2 linked regions of the Canis lupus familiaris genome follow. The protein of the gene in region 1 purifies or fractionates together with the protein of each later gene. This does not show direct contact. Links are inferred from orthologs where the notes say so. Each region holds a gene or a part of one and is shown on either strand. Other genes may lie near its edges.

Evidence for each region.
Region 2: the proteins of EIF3F (region 1) and EIF4G1 purify together in Homo sapiens (affinity purification with mass spectrometry; 3 studies listed by BioGRID, with this or other methods). This does not show direct contact. The link is inferred for Canis lupus familiaris from reciprocal best matches to the Homo sapiens genes EIF3F and EIF4G1.

What each region holds. Positions count from the first base shown.
Region 1 is NC_049242.1:32,120,557-32,125,052, forward strand, and holds the start of EIF3F (eukaryotic translation initiation factor 3 subunit F), read left to right. Parts: upstream 1-1,461; 5' UTR 1,462-1,485; coding exon 1,486-1,885; intron 1,886-4,496. UniProt on the Homo sapiens protein: Component of the eukaryotic translation initiation factor 3 (eIF-3) complex, which is required for several steps in the initiation of protein synthesis.
Region 2 is NC_049255.1:17,374,611-17,378,420, reverse strand, and holds part of EIF4G1 (eukaryotic translation initiation factor 4 gamma 1), read right to left. Parts: intron 3,765-3,810; coding exon 3,605-3,764; intron 3,557-3,604; exon of another isoform or gene 3,481-3,556; intron 3,407-3,480; coding exon 3,306-3,406; intron 2,705-3,305; coding exon 2,602-2,704; intron 2,355-2,601; coding exon 2,252-2,354; intron 2,020-2,251; coding exon 1,760-2,019; intron 1,651-1,759; coding exon 1,532-1,650; intron 1,407-1,531; coding exon 1,234-1,406; intron 714-1,233; coding exon 588-713; intron 428-587; coding exon 346-427; intron 1-345.

The sequences.
Region 1 (4,496 bases):
CATTGACAGGGGAGCTGGATCATGTGAATTCTAATTATGGAAGGTAGCTCCAAAGAGAAGGCAGTTCTTGGACATAAGGGTCAGGGCTAGGAAGTCCAACCTCACCCAGTTTGGACTTGCCAATTGGATGCCAGGACTTGATCTAATTAAAAGGAGTTGATTGGTTTCCTGGCAGGTAGATATGACCACTCCCACTGTACCAAGAAGGAAACTGAGACTCCGAAAAAATTATAGATTGCCCAAAGTTACACACAATGTTAGAATCAGAGCTCTTTTCCATTGCATAGCGGTGGTAATAGCTTCCGCTTAATAATAGTAACGGCTGTAGGGGCACCTGTGTGGCTCAGGGGTTGAGCATCTGCCTTCGGCTCAGGTGGTGATCCCAGGGTCCTGGGACTGAGTCCCACATAGGACTCCCTGCAGGGAGCCTCCTTCTCCCTCTGCCTATGTCTCTGCCTCTCTGTGTCTCTCATGAATCAATATATAAAATATTTAATAATAATAATAACTTCTATGTATCAGGCACATGCTAAGAGCTTTACAGAGGGTTACTCCTTGAAACCCTCTCCCAAAGCACAGACTAGCATCTCCACCTGACCACTCAACAATTCTGCTGGGATGTCTAATGAGGGTGACACCTCCAAAATTGAACTTAGGACCTTTTCAAAAAAAAAAAAAAAAAAAAACACCTGCTCCACGGGCACCTGGGTGGCTCAGCGGTTGAGCATCTGCCTTCGACTCAGGTCACGATCTCAGCCCTCGCACGGGGCTCCTTGCTCAGCAGGGAGTCTGCTTCTCCCTCTGCCCCTCACCCCACTCATGCTCACTCTCAAATAAATTAAATATTTTTTTAAAAAAACAGCCCCCTCCCTTGCCTCCTTCAATCCACTCAGATCTCACGCTCTCATTGTTACCCACCCTACCTTCTGATTCTCCCTTATTCCCCGCTCGTTTTTCCTTTTTCATAGCATCCATCACCCTGTAACATACTATATACCCTTTTGTCTCTCTCCGCTAGATATTGGGCATTTTTGAGGACAACGATCCTTGTTCTGTCCTCTGATCTACATTCCGAGGGCCTAACACAGCGCCTGGCACCTATTCACACTGGTGACTGAAGAAGCCGCCGCACCCACACCTTCTGACGCGGTGAAGAAGTGCCTTTAAAACGCACTTTATCGTCCACTACCCCTTTGAAGTCTGGAAACTCTGGGTCCACCTGGCGGCCGCTGAGCAGTCGGAGCGGTTTCTTCTCTCATCGCCGTCTCAAGTTTGTCCGGAACTATTCAGCTCCGTCCTCACTTGAGTGCTCATCGGTCTGAAATCAAAGAGCACAAACTCAGAGCCGGAAACTGTGCCGTGAGAAGCATTACCGGTAGCCAATCGGCATAAAGATCTCGTTCACGTGGTGCATCTTCAGCCTATCGTGTTCTACTACTTTTCAACTCCCTCCCTTCCGCTCCCGGCTCCTTCTCTCTCGACAAGATGGCCACACCGGCAGCCCCGGCGAGTGCTCCTGCCGCCACCCCAGCCCCAGCCTCCGCCCCGGCCGCGGCCCCAACCTCGGTCTCAGCCCCGGCCGCAACCCCAGCTTCAGCGCCAGCGCCGGCTCCGGCTCCAGCGCCGGTCCCAGCTCCAACGCCGGCTCCAGCCTCTGCCTCAGACCCGGGGACTGCGGCGGCCACGACTGCGGCTCCGGGCCAGACCCCGGCGTCTACGCCAGCCCCAGCGCAGACTCCGGCGCAGTCACTGCCGGGTCCTGCTCTCCCAGGCCCCTTCCCCGGGGGCCGCGTGGTCCGGCTGCACCCGGTCATTTTGGCTTCCATCGTGGACAGCTACGAGCGACGCAACGAGGGCGCTGCCCGAGTTATCGGGACCCTGCTGGGTGAGTGGTCAAACCGCATTGACCCTCTCGCCTCCCGTTTATCCCATTGACCTCTTGACCTATTTCTGCATCCCGTCTTTCTGCCGCGACTTCCCTCCTTGAAGGAACTCGCACTTTCCTGCCAGGTTGCTGTCACTTTGGTCGACACAGAATACGTAAGCCGTAGTGCGTTACTGAATAAGTATCGTGTGCCGAATGATCGATCCCGGGTCCCCAGGATCACGCCCTGGGCTGAAGGCGGTGCCAAACCGCTGGGCCACCCGGGCTGCCCCTGGTTTTATGTTTTATTTTTAATCTCCCCGCTAGCATTTGAGGTCAAGTGTGATTAGTCCCAGACTGCCAAAAATGAGTTCAGATGCCGACGAGGAAGTCAGAAACGTTTGACTAAACGTTCGACTAAACGCTGCCCCCCACCCCCCCCGCCGCCTTCCACCCCCTTCCACGGTCTAAATGTCCTTATTTTCCAGGTGTTTACGAGGACGTTTTAAACCAGTTGGTAAAGAAGTAGGGACTTCTGTAAAAAGACATCCCTTTCAACAAGTTTGGCAGAAACCTATTTAGGTTTTTAATGATATTCTGCTTTTCTAAACATTTAATCCTGATCTTATGTTTTTTAATCTCCCTGATATGTTAATTTGTAAAGCTGAGAAGCTAAATAGGGATTACTGATAATAATGCCCTTTTCTCTTGGGAACTGCTGATCCCATCAAAGTCCTTTTCCTTCCATCCTTGTCACCAATTTTAGATCCCTTTGTAAATGGACTCTAGCCTCGTTTGTCATTTCTCTTATTCTTGAATATGTATGTAATAGTCTTTCTAGCATAGAAGACAACTGAATTGCAAAGGGGACAAGATTTGACGGTAGATTGCACCAAATATTAACCATGTGCCTTGGGATTCCTGGGTGGCTCAGTGGCTGGGTGCCTGCCTTTGGCCCAGGGCATGATCCTGGAGTCCCAGGATCAAGTCCCACATCGGGCTCCCTGTATGGAGCCTGCTTCTCTCTCTGCCTGTGTCTCTGCCTCTCTCTTTCTCTCTGTGTGTGTCTTTCATGAATAGATAAATAAAATCTTAAAAAAAAAAAAAAAAAAAAAAAAAAAAAAAACATGTGCCTTGAGACAAATTACCTGAAGTCTAGTTCTTTCGGGGCACTTAGACTTAGTCTTTGCAGAAACTAAACTATCACCAAAAGCATCTCACTGCTGGCAGACCATTAGGTACAAAACCGCGGTTGACTGCAGTCTTCCACCACATCAGGGCTACCCCCACACCCCCAATCCCTGCCTTGCAACACACACACATTTGCCCTCTCTTTGAAGATTTAGCATTTCACAGAACCTTCAGTTGATCCATTATCTTCCAAACATCAAGGTTTTTCTCAAACCAAGCCTTTGTATTCTGTTTGACATAAATGTCTTCCCTGCTCTCTCTCATTTAAGTTTCACTCATTTCCTGGGTTCCCAGGAAAAGTGTTAAGTGTCAGTTCTTTGTCTCACATTACCACCCTCACCTCCATTCTTAACCTCCAAAGTATAGTAGCATTCTGTAAATGTGTCCTGCTTTGAGCTTCTGAAATAAATGATTTTTGCAACAAAGGTTGGCACTTGACGAATACTAATCTATTTACTCTTTGAGCTGCACTGCCAAATTTTCCAAATCCACTGGAGCTATTTAAAGAAACCCAGGGAGAATGCTCAGAGCCCCCAGATACTCTAGTGACTCTAGTTAGACCAACTAGTCTAGCTCTTCAGATCCTCTTCCAGACTGGGATAATGGTATAATGCTCAGTGTTATAGAGACAGTACTTCACTGAAGAATTAAACACAGACTGCTCACGAGGAGCTTCTGAATATTCTCAGATGTTAATTCATGAAACATTTAATTTGGTTAAATGAAATGACTGGTACTGTTTAAATACCATAAAACTGTTACATATTTTGAATTCAAAGTTTGATAAAATAACTTCTGTTCTAACCTTAAATTCAAGATGAAGATATATGCAAATAATTAGAATACAATGTGATAAATGCTTTAACTGAAGGATATTGTGGCATGGAAATGCAGAAGACTTAAAACTGCTTCAGAAGTGTGAAATGGTCAAGTTTATTGAATTCCTGTTTAGAGGTCAAATAAGCATATTTATCCGCTGGGTTTGAAGACATAGTTTTAGCAAAGGGAGCAGAAACCATAGTGAAGTGGAATTAAACAGACACATGGGTGGCAGCATTGTGGTCTGTGGAGGAGGGGGAAGTGCTTGAAGCCTGGTATGGGTGGTGCCAGTAGATTAGAAAAACATGGAGAACTCAAGGGACTAGCAGTCTTAGGTCAAGAAACAAACTAAGTGGGAGTAAAGGTATCAGAACTAGAACAGAAATTTGTGGTAAAAGACTGATACTGATGTTTACAGTTCACAGGTAGAAGGTTTCTGGATGATGATGGGGTTAAGGACATGACCATTGGACTAGATGACTGAAGGGAGGTAAAGGTGAAGCTCCCTAAGATTGTACTCTGAGGCTAGGCTTCTGTTTGGGTGGCCTATGTAGACATTGTCAGAATTTTCCAAGTATTCTGCAGAATGAATTATAAGAGAAAGTCTAGTGGCTGAAAAATG
Region 2 (3,810 bases), on another chromosome or scaffold:
TTTTATTCAATGTGCTATCCCCAGTGCCTACTATGTGGTTGGTACATGTTTAAAAAAAAATGTTAGTTGAATGAATGATTGATTGAATCAAAGAATCAATCAAGGGCTTAGGGTCTCAGACTGTCACTGTCCTCCAGTCTTAGCCAGAACTCATGACAGGAACTGGTCTGAGAGTGCCAGCGCCAGCCTCGACATTTCCTTTCTCAGGTACCAACACAGCACCACCCTCGCCATTAACCCCATCCCACCAAAGGACCATGAGCCATCAGGGTCACAGCAACTGGCCAAAAGAGCATGGTCGGAAGAGAAGTCTCTACACATCACCCCCAAAAGGCTCTTACTTACCATACTTTTGCATAGGAGCCCCAGGATCTCCAGCAACAGAGAAGCAGCTTTGCCCAGGGGTCTCAGAGGTTTTGTAATCTCCCTATAGAGAAAAAAAGGAAATTACAGAGTGTTAATGGCTCACTCAGTCAGTACACTGCCCCATCCCTCCCCAAATCCAGGCATTGAACCTGCCATATGTACTCCCCCTCCCCAGCTTTCTTCTTGTCTTTACCTCCCCTGAATCCCCAAAGGGGGCTTACCTGAACAGCTCCCCCATAGGTACCCCACCTTCCTGCAGAATGGGCGTTATGAGTTCTGCTAGGTAGAGCCACACGTGGGGGATGTCAATTTCCATGTCTTCAGCCAATTCTAAGATTTCATACAGCCTGCAAATGGAATTCAAAGTCAGGGCATTCTAGGGGCACCTGGGTAGCTCAGTCAGCAGAATATCTGATTCTCGGTAATCAGCTCAGGTCATGATCTTGGGGTCCTGGGATTGAGCCCTGTCTAGCTCCATGCTCAGTGGGGAGTCTGCTTGAGGTTTCTCTCCCCTTCTACCCCTCCTTCCACTTGCCTGCCTGCCCTCCCTCCCTCTCAAATAAAAATAAATCTTTTAAGGAGAAAGAAATCATACATTCTAGGAAAGGTAAGCTGGACCCCCACCATCCCTCTGGGGCAAGATGACATTGTTAAAGGATCCACTGTGGAGACCCTCAAGAACACTTCCTAGACATGGGGCAATTATCTCAAGCCAAGGCCACACTTTTGTCCTTACATGGTACACTCTACCCCTGCCAAAAGTAATGCTAACCGGGATGGCTATACTCTCATCCAAGGTTCCACAGATCCTACACAAAGAAAGGAAGTCTGTGGGATGTAAAAGTAGAAGGCCCTCAGAAGACATACCCTTGGTAGTACTGAGCAGTGGAGAGGTGCCCAGCAGAGAGCAGCTGGTGCAGCAGCCGCCCCATATGCTCACGAGCAATGGTGCTGCGCTCCAGTGTTGACTCAATGCCATGTCGCACAAAGATGAAGAGCAGGGAGGGTGAGGCCAGCTCCTGTACACACTGCACTGCCTCCTGCAGGAGTGTGGGCAGGAGGGAGAGGGCAGTCACTGTCTGGTCCTAACCCCACACTCCATGCATGTCAGCACATGTCCCTCCCTGGCCACCCTGCTGTCACTGAGACACCTCCCACTGCCTACCTTCATATCATTGAGATGGAGATATTCCTCAATGATGGCCTTGGATTTCTTCTCCAGCTCTTCCTCAGAAAGCGCAGCTTTCGGGGGACTCACTGGGGGCAGGGTGGCTTCTCGCTTCACTGAAGGGGGGAGAAACAGATCAGAGACTCTTCAGTTCCAATTTTCCTAGCAAGAAAGACCTGGAGCTCTGAAGACTGGAGGCTGGCTAGTCCCAAACCCACACCTTACCTTTCCCTTCCTCTCCCGGTCCCTTACCGGCATCCCGCCCACGGTCCCGATCCTCTGTGAGGCTAGCTGCCTTGCGCAGTCCCTCAGGCTGGGAGGGCCGCTCTCTACTTCGCTCCTCCACTTCCTTGCTGAAGCTCCGCTTGGTGGCAGGTGTCCGAGAGCGATCGAGGCGGTCCCCACGGTCACCTCCCCGTTCACTCCGCTCTAGGCGGTCTCCCCGGTCCCCAGCTTTCTCACCTCTTTCCCGACTCAAACTACTCCTGGAGAAAAAACAGGCATGTCACCTCTCACCTGTACTGCCTAGGCACTCTCCTGTAGAACTTTCCAACAAGCTCAGCAATCATCAGGCATAGTTCCTGGAATCTGGAATGTGCCCCCATCTAGCCATGGACTATGAGCATTACAGATGTGAGGATTCCTATGGCAACCACCAAAGCCCAATCCCAGTACTCCCCACGTGAAAAACAAAGACACTCGCAGGGGAAGCCTCACCTCTGTACCACACGTCTGCTGTCTGTGCTTTCTGTAGGTACTGCTTGTTGAAGGGCTGAGAAGCGGTTCAAGGTACTAGTAGCTGGACGAGCAGCTTCTGATGCTGGGGAGGCAGAAAGCCCACATCAAAATCTCTTCCTACTTTCTTCCATTCCATCTCCTACTCGCCAGTTTAGGACACTTGGTCCTACTCCCAACATGAACACAGTTCATTCAGTCCCCCTCGTCCCAAGCATAAGCCTCCTGTTATTACCCAACCACTTTATACAAAAGCCTCTCCTACAAATAAGGCTCTGCCCTCAAATAAGAGGATTCCTAGGCCCCCAGCTCCTTACGATGGCCTCAAGTACCTGCATCAGAGGGCTTGGCTCCTGAGCCTCCACTGCTGCCCTTGCCCCAGCTCAATCGCCCTCCAGGTGCAAAGAGCTGGTTGTTAGAATCAATGGAGCCAGGCTGTGGAAGGAAACGGGAGTGGAGTGGAGCATCAGTCTGATCTGGCCAAAGCCCATAGCTACACAGTAGCAAATGGCATAGACCAGGAGCCAGGCAAACTTTTCCTCTAAAAGGCCAAATAGTAAATACTTAAGGCTTTGCATATCATATAGTTTCTATTTCAACCATTCCACATGGCCACTGTAGCACAAAAACAGTCACTCGCAATACTTAAGGGGAATGAATTTGGTCATGTTTTCTAATAAAATTATGCATGCTGAAATTTACATTTTGAGTAATTTCATTACTCAAATCATCCATTTTATTTTTTTCAACTGTTAAAACTGTAAAAGCCGCTTCTTAGCTGTGGAATGTAGAGAAGGAATGGGACAGATCTGCTGTGCGAGTTTGCTGGCCCAGACAGATGTGAATACATCTTCTTGAGCTGGCAGTCCTGTCTCTAGGAGTCTAACCAGTTAGTCCAAGAGGAAAGCCATCACCTTTTCAACCTCAGAAGTAAGGAGATGAAGATCCAAATCTATGTTCAATGCCAACTGATCCCTCTTTTCCCTCCAATGACCACTACCACTAGGTAGTGACACCCTCCAATACGCCCCCCTACCTTCGTGATCTTGGTGAGTCGTGAGGTGTCGATAGGGCGGCTGCCCTTGCTGATGGGGACTGTGTTCCAGCCACCATCATCCACAAGTGGGAGGCCACGACCTGGGACAAAGAGTATATTACAATAATGAGTAACTCCTAGCCCCCCGATCACCTGGGGCTACCCCCAGACCCCCTTCCTCAGATCCTCAGTTCCATCATGTGGTCTCAGTGGCCCAGACACGTGGCACTAACAAGAAGTCATCAGTGGAAAGTTTAACCCCTCACTCTGCCCCCTCGTAACCGGAGTCCCAAACTCACTAATGGGTGGGCCTGGAGGGCCACCCCGACGCTTGTCACTGCCCTTGGCCATTAGCTGCTGCACTTTTACGTGCTCCCAGTGCTCCTCCATCTCAGCCTCCTTGTGGATCTGGTCAATGGTCTTGGGACCCTGGTCCCCACGGCGTGGCACCCAATTGCTCTGTGGGGACAGAATGCCAGTCACAAGATAATCATATCAGAGGGCC